Linked DNA regions of Bombyx mori. The protein of the gene in region 1 purifies or fractionates together with the protein of each later gene. This does not show direct contact. Links are inferred from orthologs where the notes say so. Each region holds a gene or a part of one and is shown on either strand. Other genes may lie near its edges.

The links. The genes of interacting proteins can lie anywhere in the genome.
Region 2: the proteins of Rab11 (region 1) and unconventional myosin-Va purify together in Drosophila melanogaster (affinity purification with western blotting; 4 studies listed by BioGRID, with this or other methods). This does not show direct contact. The link is inferred for Bombyx mori from reciprocal best matches to the Drosophila melanogaster genes Rab11 and didum.

Annotation. Positions count from the first base shown.
Region 1 is NC_085112.1:15,247,354-15,254,283, forward strand, and holds the start of Rab11 (ras-related GTP-binding protein Rab11), read left to right. Parts: upstream 1-3,243; 5' UTR 3,244-3,320; coding exon 3,321-3,360; intron 3,361-3,885; coding exon 3,886-4,007; intron 4,008-6,327; coding exon 6,328-6,560; intron 6,561-6,930.
Region 2 is NC_085108.1:6,149,900-6,156,082, reverse strand, and holds part of unconventional myosin-Va, read right to left. Parts: intron 5,713-6,183; coding exon 5,574-5,712; intron 4,086-5,573; coding exon 3,928-4,085; intron 3,036-3,927; coding exon 2,861-3,035; intron 1,925-2,860; coding exon 1,835-1,924; intron 1,344-1,834; coding exon 1,159-1,343; intron 631-1,158; coding exon 374-630; intron 1-373.

The DNA.
Region 1 (6,930 bases):
CCTCTGCTCTTGCTAGGGTTAGTGTTAGCAATGACGTCAGGTTTGAACCCCGTGAGCTCACCTACTAGTATAGGCTACGCTGAAATGGTCACTCAAGACCATTAGCTTAGGAAAAAAAGGCGCTTGAGGAGCCTAAAAGCACAGATGATTTGGGCGACGGCGGCTTTGTCTTGCCCCGTCGCCGGGGCCTGATAATTTTAATTAGCGGCGGCCACGATAAGAGGGTTATCGTGTCGCGTCGCTTTGCCGAAGTAGCTTTTTGACGCTACTTTATTATATATTGGTATCGTTTCGATTGTATAACCGGGAGAGAATTATGTGCAAACGAGCCGCGTGAGCGACCACTACACTTACATAGGTCATGACGGAACGTATATAAGTCTTGTAGAGAGTCATCTTGTTACGTAGAGATAATTAAGTTCGCTTGTAGATCATGGGATAAGCAGATTCGAACGAATAGGAACGCGACTCGGTCGCGTATTGACTTAATGTGGGGATCGAGTGTCATCGCTCTGTCGGGGGTGACGCCTAAGTAATAGGGGTATGAAATTTCTATTTTAATAGTTACTTCGAACTGACATAGAACCTTCATGGTTCGAGATTTTTGAGTGAATCTTTTTTCAAATGGTGGTATGAGGTTCTTCTTTTAAAAATATGCAACATTCGATTAAGTATAGATTTTCAGTCGTTTTTTTTATTCAGCTTAGATCAGAATGATGGATATTTCGAAAATTCGAGTGATTTTTTAATACGACGCGGAACTAACGCTGCTTACGCTGCAGAAACAGCTCGCAATATCAATGTTGCGTTTGGAGAGGGAACTGCTAATCAACGCATCGTGCGATTTTTGTTTAAAAGATTTCGTGATGGAAATTTTGATTTGAAGAACGAACCACGTGGAAGACCGCTCACACATGTGAATAACAATGAATCGAAAGAGATGGTGCCAAATGAAGCCAAACTACCCAGGAATTAGCGGCATGGTTTAGCGTTACCTTATCAACAATATTGACTCATTTGCGTCAAATCAATAATATATAAAATATGAAAAGTGGGTGCCTCATGATTTTACTGATCTGCAGAAAGAAACGTGTGTTGAAACTTGTGTTACCCTGTTGAATCGTTGCAGAAATAAAGGAATATTGGATCGAATTGTGACATGTGATGAAAGTGAATTCTTTACGATAACCTTAAGCGAAAAAATGTTATGGTTGACCCCAGGTCAAACGCCGCAACAGTGTCCTAAAGCAAAGCTTACCAATAAAAAGGTAATGGTAACTGTTTGGTGGTCTCAGCAGGGTGTTATTCACTATAGCTTTCTCTGATCTGGTCAAACAATAACGGCGGATGTTTACTGTGCCGAACTCCAGCAAAACTTGCAGTGAAACATCCATGACTCATGAATTGATCTTCACTATTATTGCTCCATGATAACGCGAGACCTCATACAGCACGAGAAACTGTTTTAACTCTACATGCAATTAAAAACCATTCGTCACTCTCCATATTCGCTAGACCTTGCTCCAACGGACTACCATTTTTATCGTGATTTGGACAATTTTCTACGTGATAAAAAGTTTTCTTTCCAGGAGGCAGTACAAAATGCTTTCACACAGTTTGTAGAATCTAGATCAGCAGAGTTATATCGCAATGGCATAAATGACCTTCCTATTAGATGGCAGCAATGTATTGATAATAATGATAGATATTTTGACTAAACATATATTATGTTGAAAAAAAACGAATTTCAAATTTTCAGTTCAAATCGGCAATTTCATACTTTAACCCCTAACACTTAGCCTTCAAAGTCTACGGTACTTAAGGGCTGGCCAAAAAATTTAATCGCGAGAATGGAGTTAATTAGCACGCCTTAAGTATGCGTGACTAGATATTAGCAGCGTTGTCGGGAGGGCTGATAACATTAAAAAAAACTGTCTTCGTCCACGGGTCTACGGTCAACGGTTTGCATTCCAGGACAATGTTCGTGTTCGGTATTCATGTGTATGTGATATTGAATGAACAAATAAAAAAAATTGCAAACGATACCATTACAGAGTACTTATTACATCCTTTGGCTTTACTAAGTTATGCACTCGAAAAACATACCAGATAGACCAAGATAGGCATGGATTTTTTTTTATTGCTTAGATATATGGACGAGCTCACAGCTCACATGGTGTTAAGTGGTTACTGGAGCCCATAGACATCTACAACGTAAATGCGCCATCCACCTTGAGATATAAGTTCGAAGGTCTCAAGTATATGTAGTTACAACGGCTGCCCCACCCTTCAAACCGAAACGCATTACTGTTTCACGGCAGAAATAAACAGGGTGGTGGTACCTACCCGCGCAGACTCTCAAAAGGTCCTACCACCAGTAAATATGTCTTAAATATTGACTGTGTCATCGGGAACGCGAGGAGTGAAGTTGTGTGATTTGTTTTATTTTGTCTATTTAGTGTTTCTTCAGGTTTAAATGTGTAATAACGGTGGTTTATTAACTGTTTAGTATCTGTGAAAGTGCACAAATATGGGAAAATGAAACAAAACCGCTGGACGCAACTTCTCGGGATCCTCCAAAAAGTCCACTGAAAAAATCTTAGTAAATGACCACCATTTTACTAAGATTATATTTCATCCCATATCATCTCATTTCATTTCATTTCATCCCAGTTGATTAATGTCTCAAATTAATCATCTTCATTTCATTTCACCCCATATAATCATTTTTCATAAAGATAAGAATATATTTAAATTAAAATAAGACATGACTTAAAGGTCTTAGTACCAGGTCATTAAATTCCTTAAAAAACGGTCAAGATGTCAAAATTTTGACACCTGACAGCTGATCCGAGTTATGTCAGAATAGAATTCTCACAACTGATTTACGTTCGAAAATTTATTACATGAAATTTCAATTAAATTTAATATTTATCGAATTTTCGTTAAAAAAAGAATGGATATGCTAGTAGTGTAACAATTTAAAAATAAAATATATGGATGAAACTTTTGGCAGTAAACATTTTCAAAAAATTAACTTTTACACTTTTGGGACCTGTTCGGAAATCGAACGTACCCGAGGGGCGTAAAACAATCCGCCATTTTGTCCCTACAACAATTTAGAATTTTATTATTTCGATAGGTACATGATAGCGCTTTCAATCAAAATAATCACAATTAAAAAGTGATGTTAAAAGAACTGTGCATCGTTTTATAAATCTGTGATATTTGTGTCCAATATTATTTTTATTTACGGTCATCTTGACGTCTCGAAACTGACCGATTTTTGACGTCGACTAAAGAGCTCCGGATAAACCAAAATGGGCACAAGAGAGGATGAATATGATTATTTGTTCAAAGGTAAGACTTTTACTCGCCTGTTTCTTTTAATTAATTTTCGCAGTCAACGGAACTATTATTTTATAACTTATAAATGATGAATCCCATTGTTTGTAATACTATAGTGACGTAGAAAAAATGTCTTATTTAGATTTCTCCTTTGTTTTGTGTTTTAATTCTCAGTACTATATTAGAATCAAAATGTATGCATCAAACCAAATATAATTTCAATCTCAGACCAAAAATAATATTGTATTTTAACATCAGCTGATTGTATGACTCGATCGATTTTTTTGTAATTTCCCGTTCTCATGACTCATGTATGCCTCTTTTGTAGTCTAATAAAGAAAATGATTGTTCTATGTTTCGATAATGTTAACAATAATTTAGTAAAATATAGTATTTTATAACCACTAACCTATAACGAATTGTCTTTAATAGTAAAATAAAATAGTAAACACGATATTATAGCTTATGATCATCAGGATCGCGACTCGCGATAATCACCTTGAGTTTAGTAAATAAGTAACTTTATTTTAATTTTAGTTGTACTCATTGGAGATTCTGGTGTGGGTAAAAGCAGTCTTCTGTCGCGTTTCACTAGAAATGAATTCAATTTAGAATCTAAATCTACCATAGGTGTGGAATTTGCAACAAGAAGTATAGAGGTGAGTATCAAATTCCATTAAATAATGTAATTGTTCAAAAATTGAGCCATTAATTATATCTGTTATGAAATAAAAATAGGGGCGGCAACTAAACTTTTAATGTGAATAGTTTAAAAACGATGTCTAATATCTCAAACACCAACAAAAGTAAACCTATTTTGTTTAAAATGTACTACAAAATTACATTATTCATATTTTATAAATGGATGTTGTTCTCAAATTCACATAATATATCAATATATTCACAGATATAAGTGTAAGTACCTATCGTTTCAATAGTGTGAATTCTTTCAGCAAAACATATTTTCACAATATGCGCCCTCTTATAGTCAGTATTAAGTATGTATGACAAATATATTTTTAGTGATCTTCAAATTAAAATTGCTTGTCTTATCTTTAATCAGTAAACCTTGTAATTCATTAACAAAAACCTTTAAATTTATTCAAATATAACAGTACATAGTTGAAATGAGTCATCTTTATTTAGAATAATTTCAATAGTCATTGTATATACAGCTGCTTACCCTGCTACAAATAAAACAAAAAATCACTGTTGTAATAGTAATTTTAAATCATATTTTCACTTAGTTCATTGTATGTAACAGTTTCCCTTTTTGTCAAATTGTTTCCAATACACACATATTTATATTAGTCATGAAAAATGTAGTAAAATTTTGTTGGACTGGTTTAAAAAAATGAGATGTCATAGAAGTATATGGACAAATTAAGAGACTCTCAGACCTTTGTGTTAGTTTTCAGACTATTTATGTTTTCTGTATAAACTTTAAATTTTTTTTTTTTTATTTTTTTTTTATTGCCTTTGTAGGCAGACGGGCATACGGCCCACCTGATGGTGAGTGGTTACCGTCGCCCATAGACTTCAGCAATGCCAGGGGCAGAGCCAAGCCGCTGCCTACCGCTTAATACTCTCCACAAGCCTCGTTTGAAGAAGGACATGTCATAGCGCTCGGGAAACACAAACAAATTGTTAAACAAACAATATAAATTCTTAAACCTACAATGTTTTCACTATTTAGCTTCTGTCCCACTGTCAAGTAAATATTTCTTAAAACTTTGAAAGGCTTAAAAAAAAACAAGATTTTATTCTACTTGTGTACCAATTGCAATTCTGTTAGTTTAAATGATAGAAAAGATGTTGGTTAATTTTAATTTTTGTTATTTATTTATGGAAGTTCCGGTTTCCATCTCAAATTGTAGGTGTCAAAGAATGTCAATATTATCAATATTATGAATCACAAACATGAGAAAAGCTGTACAAAATGATTTATATGAACTCATTATTTTGTGAGCATGTGAGAGAGATCATAAGATATTCTCGTCCCCTATCCCTTTTCTGTATGACCATTTCAAAAATATTTTAATAATTTTTTTTTACAACCAATTTTGTGGGTGTTTTAAAAATGGAGATTTCCTTTTACATAAATATTATACATCTTATTGGATTGGAGCATAGATAAATTGTGGTATGTTCACAGATTGGACAGCTTTGTGAAGTAGTTTTTGTGAAACTCAACATTTCCACTCATATTCAATTCTCAGGTCTGTCAAGTGGTGGTAGAACCATCCTGTCTATTTTCTGCTGCTATTCCAAGTTAAAATATGAGACAACTATGACACAATTTAATCGAGACTTTTTAATCACATAATACATCTAAGGAATAATAAATAAAAATATCATATTTTGATTCTTCCTACTGGCCAAGGGAACAATGTTGAGTTGTAAATTCGAATTTATAGTTGTAAGTGAGCCTTTATTTAAAATCCTGAATCGTGTTGGCAAGGAAATAATTTATTAAAGCCCACGGGGACCAATGAACTAAGCTTTTTTTTTTATTGCTTAGAAGGGTGGACGAGCTCACAGCCCACCTGGTGTTATGTGGTTACTGGAGCCCATAGACATCCACAGCGTAAATGCGCCACCCACCTTGAGATATAAGTTCTAAGGTCTCAAGTATAGTTACAACGGCTGCCCCACTCTTCAAACCGAAACACATTCCTGCCTCACGGCAGAGATAGGCAGGGTGGTGGTACCCACCCGCGCGGACTCACAATTGGTCCTACCACAATTAATTACGCAAATTACAATTTTGCGGGTTTGATTTTTATTACACGATGTTATTCCTTCACTGTGGAAGTCAATCGTGAACATGTGTTAAGTACGTATTTCATTAGAAAAATTGGTACCCGCCTGCGAGATTCGAACACCGGTGCATCGCTCAACACGAATGCACCGGACGTCTTATCCTTTAGGCCACGACGACTTCAAAATCGAAGGCTATATCTTGTTGTTGTCCACCAGGTCGACGGTAAGACCATAAAAGCTCAGATATGGGACACGGCCGGGCAGGAGCGGTACCGCGCCATCACGTCGGCGTACTACCGCGGCGCGGTGGGCGCGCTGCTCGTGTACGATATCGCCAAGCACCTGTCGTACGAGAACGTGGAGCGGTGGCTGCGCGAGCTGCGCGACCACGCCGACCAGAACATCCTCATCATGCTGGTCGGCAACAAGAGCGATCTCAGACATCTTAGGTACGTCTCTAGTTACGTCCAATCTAGACAACACTAGCGAGCTCCAATCTAGACAACACTAGCGAGCTCCAATCTAGACAACACTATCGAGCTCCAATCTAGACAACACTAGCGACCTAAAGGATTAGACGTCCAGTGCATTCGTATGTAACGATGCGCCGGTGCTCGAATCCCGCTGGCAAGTACCAATTTTTCTAATTAAATACTTTCTTAGCAAATGTTCTCGATTGACTTCCACAGTGAAGGAATATCATCATGTAATAAACATCTAATCTGCAAAATTATAATTTGCATAATTACTGATGGTAGAAACTCTTGTGAGTTCATACAGGGAAAATTAAGTAACCCCGCCAACATCAAGACATGAGAT
Region 2 (6,183 bases), on another chromosome or scaffold:
CCCGCAAAATTATAATTTGCGTAATCACTGGTGGTAGGACCTCTCGTGAGTCCGCACGGGTAGGTACCACCACCCCGCCTATTTCCGCCGTGAAGCAGTAATGCGTTTCGGTTCGAAGGGTGCGGTAGCCGTTGTAACTATACCTGAGATCTTAGAACTTATATCTCGAGGTGGGTGGCGCATTTACGTTGTAGATGTCTATGGGCTCCAGTAACCACTTAACACCAGGTGGGCTGTGAGCTCGTCCATCCATCTAAGCAATAAATAAAAAAACGCGATCGAGAACGTTAAAAAACTCTCACTAAGCAAGTCTACTAAGCCTCAAATAAGTCTTTGCCAAAACTACCCACCTCCCCTAAAAAACAGTTCCTACCTTCAATAGCTAACGTGTAGTTTTCTTTGACGCTCTTTAGTTCGTTGGCCAATTTCTCGCTCTCTTCTTCCCAAGTCAGTCTGTCCTTGTTATATTGATCCTCTATCCCTTTCTTCGCTTGGGCGAGTCGCGTATTGGCGTCCCTTTCCGACTGCAGTTCCGCTCGCAGCGCGTTTATAATGCTGTCCTTGTCGTCGATGCCGACTTTTAACGTTTTCACTTCGATCTCAACCAGTTTGAGTAGTTCCAGTTTTGCCCTGATAATAAATATATATATAACGGCCGTCTGGTGTAGTGGTAAGTGACATGGTCACTACACAAGGGGGTCGCTGGTTCGAATCCCGCCAAGGGAAGATATTTGTATGATAAATATAAAATGTATTTTCCAGGGTTATGGATGTATATTAAATATGTATATGTATGTGTATAATAAAAATCTTACATTTATATCCGTTATCTGGTACCTGTAACACAAATTCTTTACGAATTTATCACGGGACCAGTTAACGTGGCGTGATTATTAGTAAATATTTATTATTTATTTATATTGTGTGAGAGACCGGTTTTGTTATTCTGGATTCGTCCGTGGCCTTTTGAGTAAGACGTCCGGTGTGCTCGTATGTCATACGTACTCGACAAAGACTCATGAACGACTTCACGATGAAGGAATTTACTTTGAGACATGAGGTTGATGTAGCTACGGTAGTTTTTTAAAATTTGAACGAAGGAAGTCTGTATCCGGGACACTGCGGCGACCCCCGCGCCCCTCACACCCCGCCACTAACTTGAGGTCCGCGACCTGCGCGGTGAGCGGCTCGATCAGCTTGTTCTTCTCCATGGCGCCGCCGAGCCGCTGCTGCAGGCTGATGATCTTGTTCTCCAGGCCCTTGTTGAGGGTCTTCACGTGGTCGAGGCTGCGGGCCTCGATGCGGAGCCGCTTGTACTGGCGACGCGCTAGGAAACGACGGATCTGGAACCGTTCAACGAGATGTACTTGTCTGGAGACCAGAACGTGGATGTCAGGGACCGGAGCCATACGGTAAACATTCACGGTCGAGATTTTTTTTCTCCTACCCATTCTGCTAACTTTGTTGCTAACACTGGCCCTAGCAAGAGCCGTGCTTCGCAGAATCTACCATCGGATCAGAAATATGACCCACTGAGAAGATCCGGCGAGAAACTCTGTGGGCTGTGTCTGTGGGTTAGTTTACTCGCCGAGCCCTTCGTCGCAAGCGACGGGTTCGACGAGGACGGTGACCGGTTCTTGTGGTACCTAAAAGCACCGTTACTGGATCGGGAGAATCCGTAATGACGTGTTTGGACATTCGAATATATTCTATGATCATTTTTATTTATTTTTAAAGCATTTTGTTGCTAGCTACATGAGTTCATTGTAGGGGTCCTGTGCAACTGGACACTACAGCACGCGTGTCGTGACGTCACTGTGCACAATGATCTCACCGCTGCCTGCGCGACTATGATCTGTCTCTTCATCTTCTTCACCCTCTGTCTAGCCAAGAAGCCGCGAGCGTATCTCTGTATCGTGACGACCTGGAATCGAACAATGCTATAGTCGATATAGTGCGTACATAAGTACACGCATAGTTTTTTTTAATACGTAATTTTTATTTGTAGCAACCTTTATAAAAATTCGAACGAAGCAAATAATAAAGGTTGATTGTTAAAATTAAAATTGTTAGTTTATTTTCGGAAGTGGCGGCGGCTAGCATTGCTGACGTCCATGAGCGACGGTGACCGTTTATCATCAGGGGGACCGTACGCTCATCTGCCTAAAAAGGCAAAAAAATATATATGGTGAGTGGTTACCGTCGCCCATGGTCGTCAGTTATATCAGGGGCAGAGCCAAGTCGCTGCTTAACTTTTTTATTTTTTCCTACCTAAGCTGAGAGCTTAGGCTATTTCAGCATAACTTTAGCTAGTAGGTGAGCTCACGGGACTCAAACCCGACGACGTTGCTAACACGAACCCTAGCAAGAGCAGTGCTTCGCAGAGTCTACCACAACATATAAGTTTATGGGCATTCGCTACAAGATGTCGCTAGTTTCCATACAAAAAATTTATTAATTAAGTCTTAAAGTATCGCAGTTTCAGGGTCCTGGCCCGGAGACCTTTCCAGTTTCACCAGGACAGGTGGGCCAGCAAAGACTCAGCCAAGAGGGGTGGGATTTGCTAACAGCTGCCCGAGCGCCTCCTAGACCAAGTAAAGAAAAGCTGCTTCGCGAATGAATCTACTACCGGATCGGAAACGCGACCCACTGAGGAGATCTTTTTCTTTTTATTATCATTTCAGGCTGACGAGCATACGGCCCACCTGAGAGTAAGTGGTCACCGTCGCTCATGGACGTCAGCAATGCCAGGGGCAGAGCCAAGCCGCTGCCTACCAAATCCGGCAAGAGACTCAGCGGGCTGTATCTGTGGGTTCGATGCTTACTAGTTAAAGTCGGATAAAACTGTCGGATGACTCACGGCTCTTAGTTTCCTGCGGTCCCGGTACAGTCTCCTGGCGAGGTACCCGCGGGCGCGCGCCTGCAGCGCCAGCGCCAGGCCCCGCAGCCGGCGGTAGTTGCGCCGCGCCAGCCACCCGCGCACGTGCCGCTGGAGGGTCACGGCAGCGCGGGCGCGGCGTAGCTCCTGCGCTTTGCTGTCACACGATAAATAAATATTTTTATTGAATTATTTGTGGAAGTCCAGAGAAGGTTTAAAAGGTAGATAAACATGAAAATGCTCAGAATTAAATAAAAATAACAATTTTGTTTGTCCTTTGATGTTTCCCCCGTCGGACGTATTCCTTTTGTTTGTTTTAAGTTTATTTTATACAAAATTTTAGGTCTTTTAATTATCAATTGAGGAACTACGAAGTCTGCCGGGTCAGCTAGTAATTAAATAAATAAAAGAGCTTCTTGAAGTGAAACTTCTTCAAAATCGTTGTGATTTCAAACTCGATGAAACGAAAAAATAAGTCCATAGAGACACAAACACATAAATGTATAGGATTCAGCCGGCGAGAGAATGAGATAGAACACATTATACGTTATGATTTTTTTAATACAGCGCCATCTATAAGATGTTTTTAATACTAACGTGTGTACGAAACCTCTTGTAGTGAATTTTAATTTAGGATTATACGTGAAGTTAAAATATCAATTCACAGAATACGTTAGCTCATACTGTAAAAGCGATTTGCAATTAATTACTTCTATTGACAAAATTTTACATAGACTTAGACATGTCATTGTACTTTAATTTTTGAAGGTTTCACTTCTGCCACGTGTGAATTGCACGCATGTTTTTTTTTTTATTGCTTAGACTGGTGGACGAACTTACAGCCAACCTGATGTTAAGTGGTTACAGGAGCCCATAGACATCTACAACGTAAATGCGCCACCCACCTTGAGATATAAGTTCTAAGGTCTCAGTATAGTTACATGCCGACTATAGTCGCAATGCAAGTTTCCGAAAAAATAGGCAGCAATAGTCAGGGTGGTCTGATAGTAAGTCACCAGTAAGCCCTCCACGTTCGTTGAGACACTCACCGCCTGGCCAGGTAGCCCCGGGAGCGGGCCTGGATGCCGACCACGGTCCTCATGACCCGGAGGTACTTCCGACGGGCCACGAACGTGCGCACGCAGCTCTGCACGCGCACGCAGTACTCGCGCTGTATGTCCGCGCGGACCTTCTCTAAGTATGCGACCTGCTCGTGTCAAACAGATCAAAACATCAACTCGTAAATTCATTGTAATAGTTGTATGGATAGTATAGAGGCCGTAAGCACTGTTGTACAATGACGTCATAGTACACGACAAAGAAAAATCAAATTTTGTTTGCGAATAGATTTCGACGCTTGAAAGGCAAACGTGACTAAGCGACAATGCGTGAACTTTACAGTAGACTAATTTAAAGTTCAAATACATGAAAAAACCTATTTTAGCGAATCGAGCTGTAGGATCTTCTTCGGTAGGATTTTAATAGACCTAGAAATATATATTTTTTGCGCATCGAATATTGTTATTGCCTATCATTTATGTACAAAGCAGTTATTGTCGCTTAATCACGTTTGCCTTTCAAGCGTCGATTTGTAATTATTTGTCTATAATGTTAGGGAACTGGAAAAAAACATTGTTTAGCATAATATCCACGAGTCGAACGTAGTTTCTTATACAAGCCGACATAAAAATAAGCATAGGTCTTTTTTTATAGACAGCGGCCCGCTTGTCACAAATTACATTCACTCCAAGCCCACGTTAGTTCCAGCATCACACGCTAACGCTGGACCGACTATGATACAACTTGTATTGTGTTTAAGAGATTGTGATTATAATAAAACTTTTATCGTGTTTAAGAGATTCTCATATCGCTACGGTCACGTAAAGAACAGTGTTTCCACAGTGAGGGGAAATTCCCCATTTGTGGGGAAATTAGGGTCCATAGGGGGGGAGAAAAGCGGGAAGACATTAAAAGGGGAAATTGCAGGAAATCATGGGAAAATGGCATTTAGTGTAAATAATATTATCACAGTATAGTATCACTAGAGGCGTGGACAGTCTATACAAGAAAATCGATATAGACCTTTTTTTTAGTTACTACACTAGGGCCAAAAGTAAAAACTACAGCAGAAAAATTTTTGAGGGGAAAAAAGCCATGAGATTGAGAATTTTGAATTGAGACGTCGGGAAAGGAAATCTTTAAAGTGGAAACACTGATGAAGACAACTTAATTGGCGGGTACACGAGGAGTGAAGTTGTGTGATTTGTTTTATTTTGTCTGTTTAGTGTTTCTTCAGGTTTAAATGTGTAATAATGGTGGTTTATAAACTGTTTAGTATCTGTGAAAGTGCACAAATGTGGGAAAATGAAACACAGCCGCTGCACGTAACTTCTCGGGATTCTCCAAAAAGTCCACTGAAAAAATCTTAGTAAATGACCACCATTTTACTGAGAATATATTATGTCATCCCATATCATCTCATTTCATTTAATTTCATCCCAGTTGATTAATGTCTTAAATTAATTATCTTCATTTCATTTCATTTCATCATTTTTCATAAAAATAATAATATAAATTGAAATAGGACATGACTTAAAGGTCTTAGTTACCGTGTCATACAAACCCTTAAAAAAAACTTAACTGAGCGAGTTTTTTTTTCTATCGTATAATGCTGAATAAAAACCCTGACACTGACCTGTCCCGCCCGGAAGAATATCTTCGTGGCACCGAACTGGTATTTGTCCGGATCCTTGAGGTGCTTGGAAAGAATTATGGAGCACGTCCCTTTGATGTTGGCGCGGTCGATGTCCTTGTGCCGACAGAGGAGGCGGTATCTGTTAATCGCGACAGGGGAATAAGGTCGGATATTAACGAGGCTGACTATTCAAATTGTAATTATAATTCGATCGATTGTAGACTATTATCGAGGGGTGAAAGGCTATTGGGATTGAGCAACATATCGCTTAACAGGCTTTGTAATTAAAGATGCGTTTTATTTGGTATCAGCATCAACAGTTCGATATTTTTAATTGAATTTCAATTAAGTTTATCTGACTCAAATAGCTGAAGAAGTTTATTCAAATTCAAAATCAAAATGACTTGTTTGCCAGAGACATGGTACATCAATAATGGTATTATAAAATTTTAATATTCCAACACGTTCTTAGTTGAATAAATAGTGTGCAATTATAAAATAAATATAGAATTAATTTGCAGATTACTAACATGTCAATTTATAATATAATAATAATAATATGCCTTTTATTCCATACAAATAGTAGGTTGCATACATATTTTAAATATAA